Xenopus tropicalis: one gene and its partners. The protein of the gene in region 3 purifies or fractionates together with the protein of the main gene of each other region. This does not show direct contact. Links are inferred from orthologs where the notes say so. Each region holds a gene or a part of one and is shown on either strand. Other genes may lie near its edges.

Evidence for each region. Proteins that work in one complex are often made in the same cells at the same time.
Region 1: the proteins of lsm14a (region 3) and eif4enif1 purify together in Homo sapiens (affinity purification with mass spectrometry; 3 studies listed by BioGRID and IntAct, with this or other methods). This does not show direct contact. The link is inferred for Xenopus tropicalis from reciprocal best matches to the Homo sapiens genes LSM14A and EIF4ENIF1.
Region 2: the proteins of lsm14a (region 3) and c1qbp purify together in Homo sapiens (affinity purification with mass spectrometry; 3 studies listed by BioGRID and IntAct, with this or other methods). This does not show direct contact. The link is inferred for Xenopus tropicalis from reciprocal best matches to the Homo sapiens genes LSM14A and C1QBP.

Annotation. Positions count from the first base shown.
Region 1 is NC_030677.2:152,096,251-152,099,750, forward strand, and holds part of eif4enif1 (eukaryotic translation initiation factor 4E transporter), read right to left. Parts: intron 1,879-3,500; coding exon 1,712-1,878; intron 723-1,711; coding exon of another isoform or gene 587-722; intron 447-586; coding exon of another isoform or gene 270-446; intron 162-269; coding exon of another isoform or gene 1-161. UniProt on the Homo sapiens protein: EIF4E-binding protein that regulates translation and stability of mRNAs in processing bodies (P-bodies). Plays a key role in P-bodies to coordinate the storage of translationally inactive mRNAs in the cytoplasm and prevent their degradation.
Region 2 is NC_030678.2:105,094,770-105,098,046, forward strand, and holds the end of c1qbp (complement component 1 Q subcomponent-binding protein, mitochondrial), read right to left. Parts: intron 3,145-3,277; coding exon 3,049-3,144; intron 1,806-3,048; coding exon 1,680-1,805; intron 1,008-1,679; coding exon 861-1,007; 3' UTR 501-860; downstream 1-500.
Region 3 is NC_030680.2:67,701,848-67,705,347, forward strand, and holds part of lsm14a (protein LSM14 homolog A), read right to left. Parts: intron 667-3,500; coding exon 503-666; intron 1-502. UniProt on the Homo sapiens protein: Essential for formation of P-bodies, cytoplasmic structures that provide storage sites for translationally inactive mRNAs and protect them from degradation. Acts as a repressor of mRNA translation. May play a role in mitotic spindle assembly.

The DNA.
Region 1 (3,500 bases), on a different chromosome or scaffold from region 3:
GTCTCCATCTTTCCGGATTTTTCTTGGACCAGCCATTGCAGTCAGAGCTTCTTCTAACTGCTCAGCCATGTATGGAGTTGCAACCTTTCCCTCCTGTTCAACTTTTAATCCTTTAAACCCAGCTTCAACTTCTTCCACAGATAAGACCACCCCGGAGTGCGCTAGAGCAGAATTTTAGAGGTTACGAAAAGGAGACTCAAAACATCCTTAAAAAAAAAAAAAAAAAAAAAAAAAAACCCCACACAAAACAGCCCGTTTTCTTAACTTACTCCTTTCTCGCAGCTTCTCCTTATTGGCAGTTAGGCTAGAGAGCAATGGTTTCAAGTCAACTTTGGCTTTGTGTAAGATTTCCAGAATGTCTACTTTGTCAGAACGCTCTTCAAACTGAATGGGGGCAAAGTAGTTTCCAGAATTTTGCCCAAGGGCAGGAATTACTTGTTCCAAGCCTGGCGGGGGGGGGGGGGGTGAATAAAAAAAAAAAAAAAAACTTTATCCCAGAGTAGTGCCTTTTCCAAAAGATGGTTAAAAACGTTAAGCATAAGCAGTTTTAGAAATATGTCTAATTCTTCTTCCCATACTAACTCACCTGCCAACCTTTCTAGCTCCTCATGGGGGGTGGACCTTAGACTGCTGGACCGACTTCCAGAGCGGCTGTGATTTGAAAACCATCTGCTAAACCTGCTTGCAGACACTGATCCTTCTCCAAGCACATCCTCTATCATCTACAAGGCAGAATATATGTTATGTCATGCATGAACAAAAAGAATAAAAAAAAAAAAAACACAACCCATGGCTGAGCTTGATTTGGGAGGGAAAAGCACTTACTTGCTATAGATGTAACTGTTCTGTGGGAACGGCATATCTGTTAACCCAAGCTGCAGGTTAAAGGCTCTGACTGAACCTACAACTTACAAACCTCTTAAAAAAAAAAAAACTGGCAGGTATGCAACACCAAATAATGTCACTATGCAAAGTCAGGGTAACATTTATCACAGGTTAGCAGTTCTTTCCACAGAGTTAAAACAAAAAGCAGAAGCAAAATTCTATCCTCTGCAATGGCACCTTGGCTCACCAAAAAGGTATCAGTCACCAGACAATGATGGAAATCCTAAAAACCACAATAATGTAAGCAAGGGGAAGAAACAAGCACCAACTTGTCACTCTAGAAGATGGTAAGAAACAAAAGCACACAACATTACAGGTAGTTTGAGGTGTATTCCATTCAGATGCAATAGAGAAGTCCTTCAATCAATGGCAGGATGTATACATTAACCCACAATACTATGCACAGAAGAGGTTTACCCAAGTAAAAAACTTCTACACAACACAGAAACTAAGTCTCCATATAAGCAGGGCCACTCAAACAAAAAACATTCATGTTTTAGTCAATTTAAAATAAAAATAAAAAAAAAAAAGCGCCAAGAAAATGACATGTTCTAATCAAATACATACAGGTGGGCTAAACAGCAGCTATTAAGTGAGATATCAGGCCAGGTAAACACACTTCACCCCTCATGCACACCAGTGTGAGCATACCAAAGTGTGAAAGGACCAAACAAACATGCATAATTACAAGCCCAGGAAACATATCAAGTCTTGCTGCATGACTGTCAATTTGAAGTTACAATATGAAAATCTTTCCCCTCTAGATCTAGCAAGTTGGGCAAGATGTGGTGATGCTTCCATGGGCTAAAGTGCTTCCAGGACTTACCGAAGCCAGTCCTGGCACACTCTTATCCAGATTGAAAAATTCATTGAAGTCAAATTCCCCTGGGGCTGGTTCTGGTAATACAGCTTCCTCAGGCACTTCCTGGTCTGCTGCATGCTCAGGCGGAAGAGCTACCTCTTCTTCCAAAACTCCTCCATTGCATTCAATTACTTTGAGAGAACAGAACATTTACTTTTATTTTATGTATGACTGCACATACAGCTTTGTAAAAGTACATTTGACAGCTGCACTGCATTCATTTTTTGCCAAAAAGAAAAACTAGTAATGGCATTTTTAGAAACTGTTAAAGAATGCCTAACACATAACTATATATATCACACATACAATCCTGCCAATTAGTAAATTTAACAGTATATGTATTTAATACGGACTGTTTTCACAATTTTTCTTCTAAATTTTTAAGAAATGTTTAGTGCAGCAACCTGACGCACACAAAGCTCTAGCATACTATGACAGCCTTAGATGTGGAAAACTGTTGGCAAGTATCTTGGCATCAGCTGAATATCTACAGATTAAAATTTTACTGGCAAAGGAAAGTAGTAACAGAACCCATCTGAGAAAAGTTATGGGTAATAAAAAAGACACAATGGTAAAGTTTTATATTTAAATAACCTAAAACATTTTGGATTTAAAGAGCAGAGTACCAGATATGTTGTGGAACTGACCTCTGAACATGTTTGGAATTAAAAAAAAAAAAAAAAAAAAAAAAAAACTAGAACACCAATGTGTGTGGCTACAGCACACTTAGCTACTTGTCCTTCAAAAAAATGTTTTTTTTAACACATGTGGCACTATGGGCAAAGTATAGTTAAATGTATTGTTATGATTTTTATGGTGTACTTTTTATTTCTAAATAACAGTGGTAGCATGATTTATTTGCTATGTAAACAGTTAGTTGCAATATTGCTGTGTAGACAGCCATCTCAATGCTCTGTGCTGAGCTGTCAGAAGGAGCCAGCGCTACACATTAGAACTGCTTTCAGGTAACTTATTGTTTCTTCTGCTCAGTGTAACTGGAGGAGTCCCAAGTGATAAGATATCAGACTAGCACTCAAGGGCTCTGGTACACGGGGAGATTAGTCGCCCGCGGCAAAACTCCCTGCTCGCGGGCGACTAATCTCCCCGTGTACCAGAGCCCTAATAGTAGAGAAAAAAAACCCAACACTTAGCAATACAGGTAGCAGCTATATTGCAAGCTTCCCATTGTTCTGCTGATCGGCTGCAGGGAGGGGGGTGATATCACACCAACTTGCAGCTCAGCAGTAAATTCTGATTGAAGTTTATCATAGTACATGTCACATGGCTGTGGCACACTGGAAAAAGAAGAATATGCATAGCCCTATGTGAAATTTCAAAATGAAATATGTTTGTATTTATATAAAAAAAAAAAAAAACCAACAACAACGCCAACACAAAACTTCGCCAATAAAATCCTGCATGGAAATCCTTTAAACTTGTGTTACCGTATTCCTTTTTGAATCCATGCCAAATAATTAAGCAGAAAATAAGGCCAGTCATAAGCTGAAGCTAAAGATTACATTTTTCATGTTATATGGCAGCTCTGAAACAAGTGCAATTAACATCTGAATTACTAAAAATCCTTTTATCACCACATTTAAATTCTATATTTACGGTATATTGTGAGTTGTTCCCTAAGCTCAATAACCGACAGCAGCACAGAGCATGTACAGTGAATCAGCAGAAAAGAAAATAGGGAGCTACTGGGGCATCTCTGTAGGCACAGATCTTCCCTGCTAAACAGCTGAGGTCT
Region 2 (3,277 bases), on a different chromosome or scaffold from region 3:
GTTAAAATCACGATATGCCAAAAATTTGGAGTAACCACAATAATTTCTGATGTTCGAAAATGTCACGAAAATCGTTTATTGGTCGTACGAAAATATTGTGGTTGTGTTCTGAAAGTCACAATTTTTGGATCTGAACATTCGTAAACGGCGCAAAAACCTTTCTGGCTTTGAAACCTTCAATGTATGATTTTGGAAGCCTTCCATGGCACTCTACAGATCAAACCTGGCCAAAAGATAGCCACGATACCAAAGCTTGAATGAATTCTGAAATGGTTGTATTCTTTGCGAAAAATACGACTTTCTGTGGAAGTTAACGAAAACCACAAAAAAGTTGTGGAATTTTAATGAAATTATCGTGGACATAACGAAAAGTTCTATAAGTTGGAAAAAGATAAAAAATTTTCTAAAAAAAACTGAAGGTGTTTTTAGGTCTATGCTGTCCCTTTACGTATGAAAATGGTGTAGGCATATAAGGAAACAATACACAGAAATAAACTTAATTAAGTTTTAAGAAGTTAGATCTGTTTCTGAAATATATTTATTAAAAAATAATAGATGAAGCCTTACATAAGCAAAAAAACAAAAGGGTTGTCTAAACATAAGTGGGTTTAAGCAAATCTTGTTACATCAATAGACACCATTTTTGTTATGGATGATTTTGTTTTCTACATACTTTGACATTTGTTATAGAATGTAAAAAACAAAAAAAAAAACCTCTTGCCTTTTCACAATTTTAAATCTGTCCGATTTTACAACACATCCCACAGATTTAAAATGTCCATTATGCAAGATGACATGCAACAAGATCCTCCTCTGGCCGCAACCTTTAGAACAGAAGGTGATTGCTTCTCAATGTCTTCTTAGCATTTAACAAAGTCTTTAAGGTTTTCTAGAAACTTGATGTATTCCTGGTGCTCCAAAGCAGTGCTTAGTTCCACTAGCTCATCAGCAAAAGTATTATCCACTCCACGGTCAGCCAAAAAATCCATTAAGTGATCATAAAGGGCCTACAAAAGATTCAAACACCAGTAGTTAATATACAAAGTTATCACAACGTCTTTACCTGATATTTAAGCAGGGACACTGGTGCAATTATGACCAAGTCAGTAACCAATCATCAGAACAGTCTACTTAACATACAATATTTTAAACCAACAAATGGTTGCTAAACTGAGGCCAATTTAGAAGATATTACTGATGCATGGGGCAGGTTGCAGGACAAACTTAAGGTCCCTTCCTGCTCATGACATCACCATCTATACCTCAGCCTCTCCAGTGATATTACCACTACAAAGCCCTCCGCTTTAATATCAGACTAGCTTCAAGACAGTCTAAAGACCTCTAGACAGTACAAGATCCTGCAAAGGGCTATGGCACACAGGACAATTTGTGATTTAAGCAGCCAAAAAACCTATCGACTTCTATGCGAATCACTTGCAAGACAACTTTCCCATGTTTTCAGACAACTAATAAGTTAAGTACATAAGTAAAGCCTGTTGTTAGAGATTCACACAGAAGTCATTGGGTGCTTTTGCAGTTTATGTGGCCTACTAAAAAAAAACAAAAAAACATGGTTTTCAAGTACCCAAATCTGCCTTTGGTGCCATACCCACCAGGTGGGTTGGTCATGGATTTTGACATGAAAATGTAAAATGTTGGTTTAAAAAAGCTATACCAACCCAGTCAAGTGAATCAGTGTTAAGTGTATAGCTGTTCTCCTTCCATTCTGTATCTCCTGTGGGCTGAAAGCTAACCTCCCGAATAGTAAAAATGTCACTTTCTTCCTCTTCTTCCCCATGTCCAACCTTAATTTTGAACAAGAAAAAAAAACAACTTTATTTAACCACACATTTGTTTTGTAAAGAGGTTTATAAATAAAGTCATAGTCAGGAAAAAAGTAACAAGCATTCCTTGAGAAGCAATACTGAAAAATTGTGGAAGGAAGGCAGGATTTTTAAACTTTGCATAAACAGAAGGAAAGGTTTGTAGTCTGCAGGATCTTCATTCCCATGAGCATGCATACCCAAACTAGGGTACCAGAAAGAGTGCTATCAATTCTTTTAGAACCCTTAAAAGAGAACTATAGCCAAATGAAAGAAGTAGGCCTAGAGGGGCCCTTTTTGCAGATGTAAAATAAATAAATCACATTTTGACACAGTTCAAATTATTGGTGTGCTTCTGGATTTCTAATAAGGTTTTGGGCTTCTGTACCAGCCCAAGGCAAAAACAGTCCCTCAGCCCTCCAAAAGGTGCCCCCAGTAACTCCCCATTTTCTTTTTTGCTGATTAACAACACATGCTCTGTGCTGCTATCAGTTACTTAGGGCTTAGGGACAGACACACAATATACAATATATGGCAGCTCTGAAACCACTGCAATTAGCATTAGAATTTAATAATCAGACCTTTAGCATTAGCTTATATGACAGGCCAACCTCATTTTCTGCTTGATAATTTGGCTTAGCTTCTCAACAGCTGCTCAGAGCACACTGGTGTGATAAACTAGTGTTTATCAGCCCTGTTGCATCTCCCTCTATGATAGACCAACATAATTTTCAGCTTGATAATTTGGTACAACCCCTAAGCTTAGCTTCTCAACAGCTGCCCAGAGCACACCAAGCATGTGAGTGTCTTTCCCAGATGGGGAGCTCCTGTGACACGTTTAAAGTCCTGGATCATTGCTGCTATAGAGATGCTGGTCCAAGAAGTTCAGTATATAAAATATTGCGCAACTGTAAAGTGCTGGCTTGATAAAGGGCCCAGTGAGGCCCAAAAAATTGCCTTGCTTGATGTCTACTTATGAGCTAATTAATATATATATATATATATATATATATATATTATATATATATATATTTTTTTTTTTTTTTTTATTTTTTTTTTTTTTTTTTTTTAACAGATGTTTCAGATCCAAATATGTCAGCTGCACAGGCAGTCCTAATGCTAACTCACATTGACATTAGAATGGTTGCAGACTTAACTGTACATACATATAAAAGGATAACAGATAAATGCAAAACAAAACATTTTATATTTTAGTTGTGTGTACCTCATCCTCTGGATAGTGACAGTCAAGAACCAGGGTGTGGTTGGTATCCAGTTTTGTAACTTCTACAACAAAATTGGGTGTAGACACAAGCTCAGGCTGTAAAATGAAAAAAAAAGTTTTAATGTCAAATATATATGCTACACAAATGTAATTCAGAGACCAAAAAACTGAAGTTGCCATTGAATTTGATCTAAAACATATTATACTGATCAGAGATTTTTTTTGCTGA
Region 3 (3,500 bases):
CATGTGCAGTATGAAGCAAGGAGGGAAAGGAAGGGAGAATACCTTTTTAGAGATGGCTGCCTGTTCTAGAAAATGTGAAGTAAGTGTGACTGAGTAAATATTTCATTAGGTGAGCCAAAAGTGTGGCGTTTTTACTAAATAGGAGGACTATTGGGCAGTATGCTTTTTAAATTTTGACTTGCATTCTCCTTTAAGAGAGGAAAAAACAACAGAAGTTAAAAAGCAGAATTCAAGCCACTTATTCCTCTAGAAAACAAAAAAATTACATACTGAGCCAATTTTGTACCTTTTCACATTTGTAGTAGAAGGCATTTTTAAAATATCTTTATAAGTCACAGGTATACTTTTATAACACCAGAGGGCTCATATACATAAAATGTTCAATACTTCAAGTATCTACTTTAAAACAAATTATTAGAAGGCTTAACAATAATAAAATTGAGATATAATAAAATACACTCTTATAGTTCTCCATCTTTTAACATTGGGGTTAACCAGATACCTGGACAATAGCAGGATCCTGAGGCAAGGAACACTGAGGTTTGGGTGGCTCACAGACTGTAAGGTCTTTAATATCACTTCCTCTGAAAATAATATATTCAAATACTTCATCCCGGGGAGGTATAGGTCGGTCAGTTGGCCGGTCCTCTGTCCCAAATGATCGAACTAGAACAAAAAATAAAAAAAAAACAGGAATCGTCTTTGAGTTGTTAAAAGTACAAGTACAATGCAGTACTACCGAAAACCATATCTTGTTTTATAAGAATTAACATTCATCTTCTACAAAACTTGCAGAAGTAGCTATGGATATGTGTTGAAGTTTTGTTGAACTTTTGTAGAAGATGAATGTGGAAGGCATTCCATATCTGTATTTATTTATGGGTCTACAGTAGCCATGGATAGTTTAATGATCTAATGAAAAATGGCTTTCCCTCTTAACTTCCACAGAGGGTAAAGTTTATGATGTGTGGCAGGTTTACAATCTATGGCACCTCCAGCCCCTAGACAACCAGCAGAGCAGAAAGAGACAAAGGCTCTTCTCCAGTGTTGTACAACTTCTGTGGTACCGAGGGCTCAGAATGGAAGCCAGTTTTGACCACCCACTTCAAACTACACCCATGTAGTCACAAGAGCTTTTAAGACCATACCCGTATTAATGGTAGTAGCGCAGCAAAAACTTGAATGGTTGGTGCTATGTGAAACAAGTTTATTATGTCTTATTAAAAGGGGACCTGTCACCCACACATAAAAAAAGCTACATAATAAAAGTCCTTTAAAAATTAAACATGCAACCAAAGTTCTTTTTTTAATTAAATCACCCATACCGGTTATAAATGTATTTAAAAGTCTGACCTGTCAATCATATATTGCCTGCCCCAGGCAATATATGATTGACAGCTCAGATTTTTAATTACTATTGCTTTAACTTTCCATTCAGCCCTTCCTCGATATCACCTAGATGGCAAATGTAGAGATTTTGGGGTGACACAAAGCTTTGCCTTAAAATGGCGCCAGCCTGCTGGCTGTGATTGTAAATTCCAGGACTGAAGGGGAAAAAAAATAATGTATAAAGTTTATTTTATTCAACTAACATGATAGAAAAGGATTTGGAACTATTTCTTAATTATAATTAATTCTTATTGGAGGCAAAACAATTGTATTGGGTTTAATTATGCTTAAATAATTTAATATACAAAGTATAGAGATCCAAATTACGTAAAGATTCCTTATCCAGAAGACCTCAGGTCCCAAGCATTCTGGAAAACAGGTCCCATACCTGTACAACTTGAGTACCGTATATACTCGAGTATAAGCCGATCCGAATATAAGCCGAGGTACCTAATTTTACCTAAGAAAACTGGAAAAACTTATCGACTCTAGTATAAGCCTAGGGGAAATGCAGCCGCTACTGCTAAGTTGTTTTTTTTTTTTTTTTTTTACTGTCAGGCAAGTTTGGGAAGGCTAAGGAAGCTGCCATACTAAGTAATGATAGTAATGATAAGATGGAAATCCAAGCAACTGGCAAGTTTTGGTAAATATCATATATACACTGAGTGGCAGCATTATGTGCTAGAAAATATTGGCCTCTGTTCTCATAACATAGCTACAACAGTTAACTTACTCCTTGTCCTTCAGGCCCCCTGGCTCATCTGTATACTGAGACACCTTCACTGCGGTTCTGACTCCTGAGACCATTACATGGCTTAGAGGGCACAGCTTGCAAAATGCTGGGAATTATAATGGTCATTGCACCAATTTTTGTATTGCTCGGGTTCCACCCGATCCTCTGTAGCCACCTATAAAGCCCACAAGCCCCCTGGTTCATCTGTATACTGAGAGGCCGTCCAGCATAGGCCGGTGGCTTTGAAGGGGAGAGGAGGAAACCATATTTAGCCCAGTTAGGATTTATATATTTCTTACCTATAGCTGCGAGGAGAAGGGGTAACCCACGCTGTGTACACTCCCATAATGTCCTTCCAGTGCATGAAGCCGGCGAGCGCGAATGTGCGTACACACGCACGCAAATAACACAATACAATGCAGGCAGTGGGACTTGTTATACGTGCGTGTGCAGGGATTGCCATCTTCAAATCTATATTACTCGAGTATAAGCCGAGGTCGACTTTTTTAGCACATTTTTGGTGCTGAAAAACTCGGCTTATACTTGAGTATATACGGTAAGAGACTTTTACACTAACTATAAAAAAAAAAAAAACAGCTTTTGCACATGTCAAGATGAAACACCCTTCTAATCTGAATAAGATAACTTTGCAGCAACTGGAAGGATCAGCGTGTTCATAGTACTGTGTGTTATTTATATAATATATATATATATATATATATCAAACCCAGGGTGGCATTCTGCTTCAGCTCTTAGCTCGGGTGCAAGGTAAATGATTTAAAATATCCAAAAAAGACCAGCAACACCGAGTTATATTCCAAAAACAGTCAATTGTGTATTAAAAACGCATGAACAGCCAATGTTACATTTCGGTCCCCATCGGGACCTTTCTCAATATATATATGTATGCTAAAAAGCATACAGACCTGTATTACCTATATTTTTCTATTTAGGTGGATGGGAGGCAATTACAGGTTGCTGAAATGCCTATAGGCTAATGCCACACGGAGCAAATTCTCAGCTTGTGGATAAACACAAGCCAAGAATTTGCCCCTTCGCTTGAAGAATTTTAAACTTTTGCCTGCTCCCAGAAGCAGTTTCAGGCCGGGTGCAGGTTGCAGGGTCATGTACCGTATATACTCGATTATATGCCGTTCCGAATATAAGCCAAGGTACCTAATTTTACCTAAGAAAACTGGAAACATTTATTGATTCGAGTACAAGCCTAGGGTGGGAAGTGCAGCGCCTTGTGCTAAGTTTCAAAAACCAAAATAAATACCAATAAAATTAGGATCTATCAATCTCACTGAACAAATAGAGCAGAAGTAACTAAAGTCTGAACCATGAGACAATCTGTAGTGACCAGATCCCCTTGTGC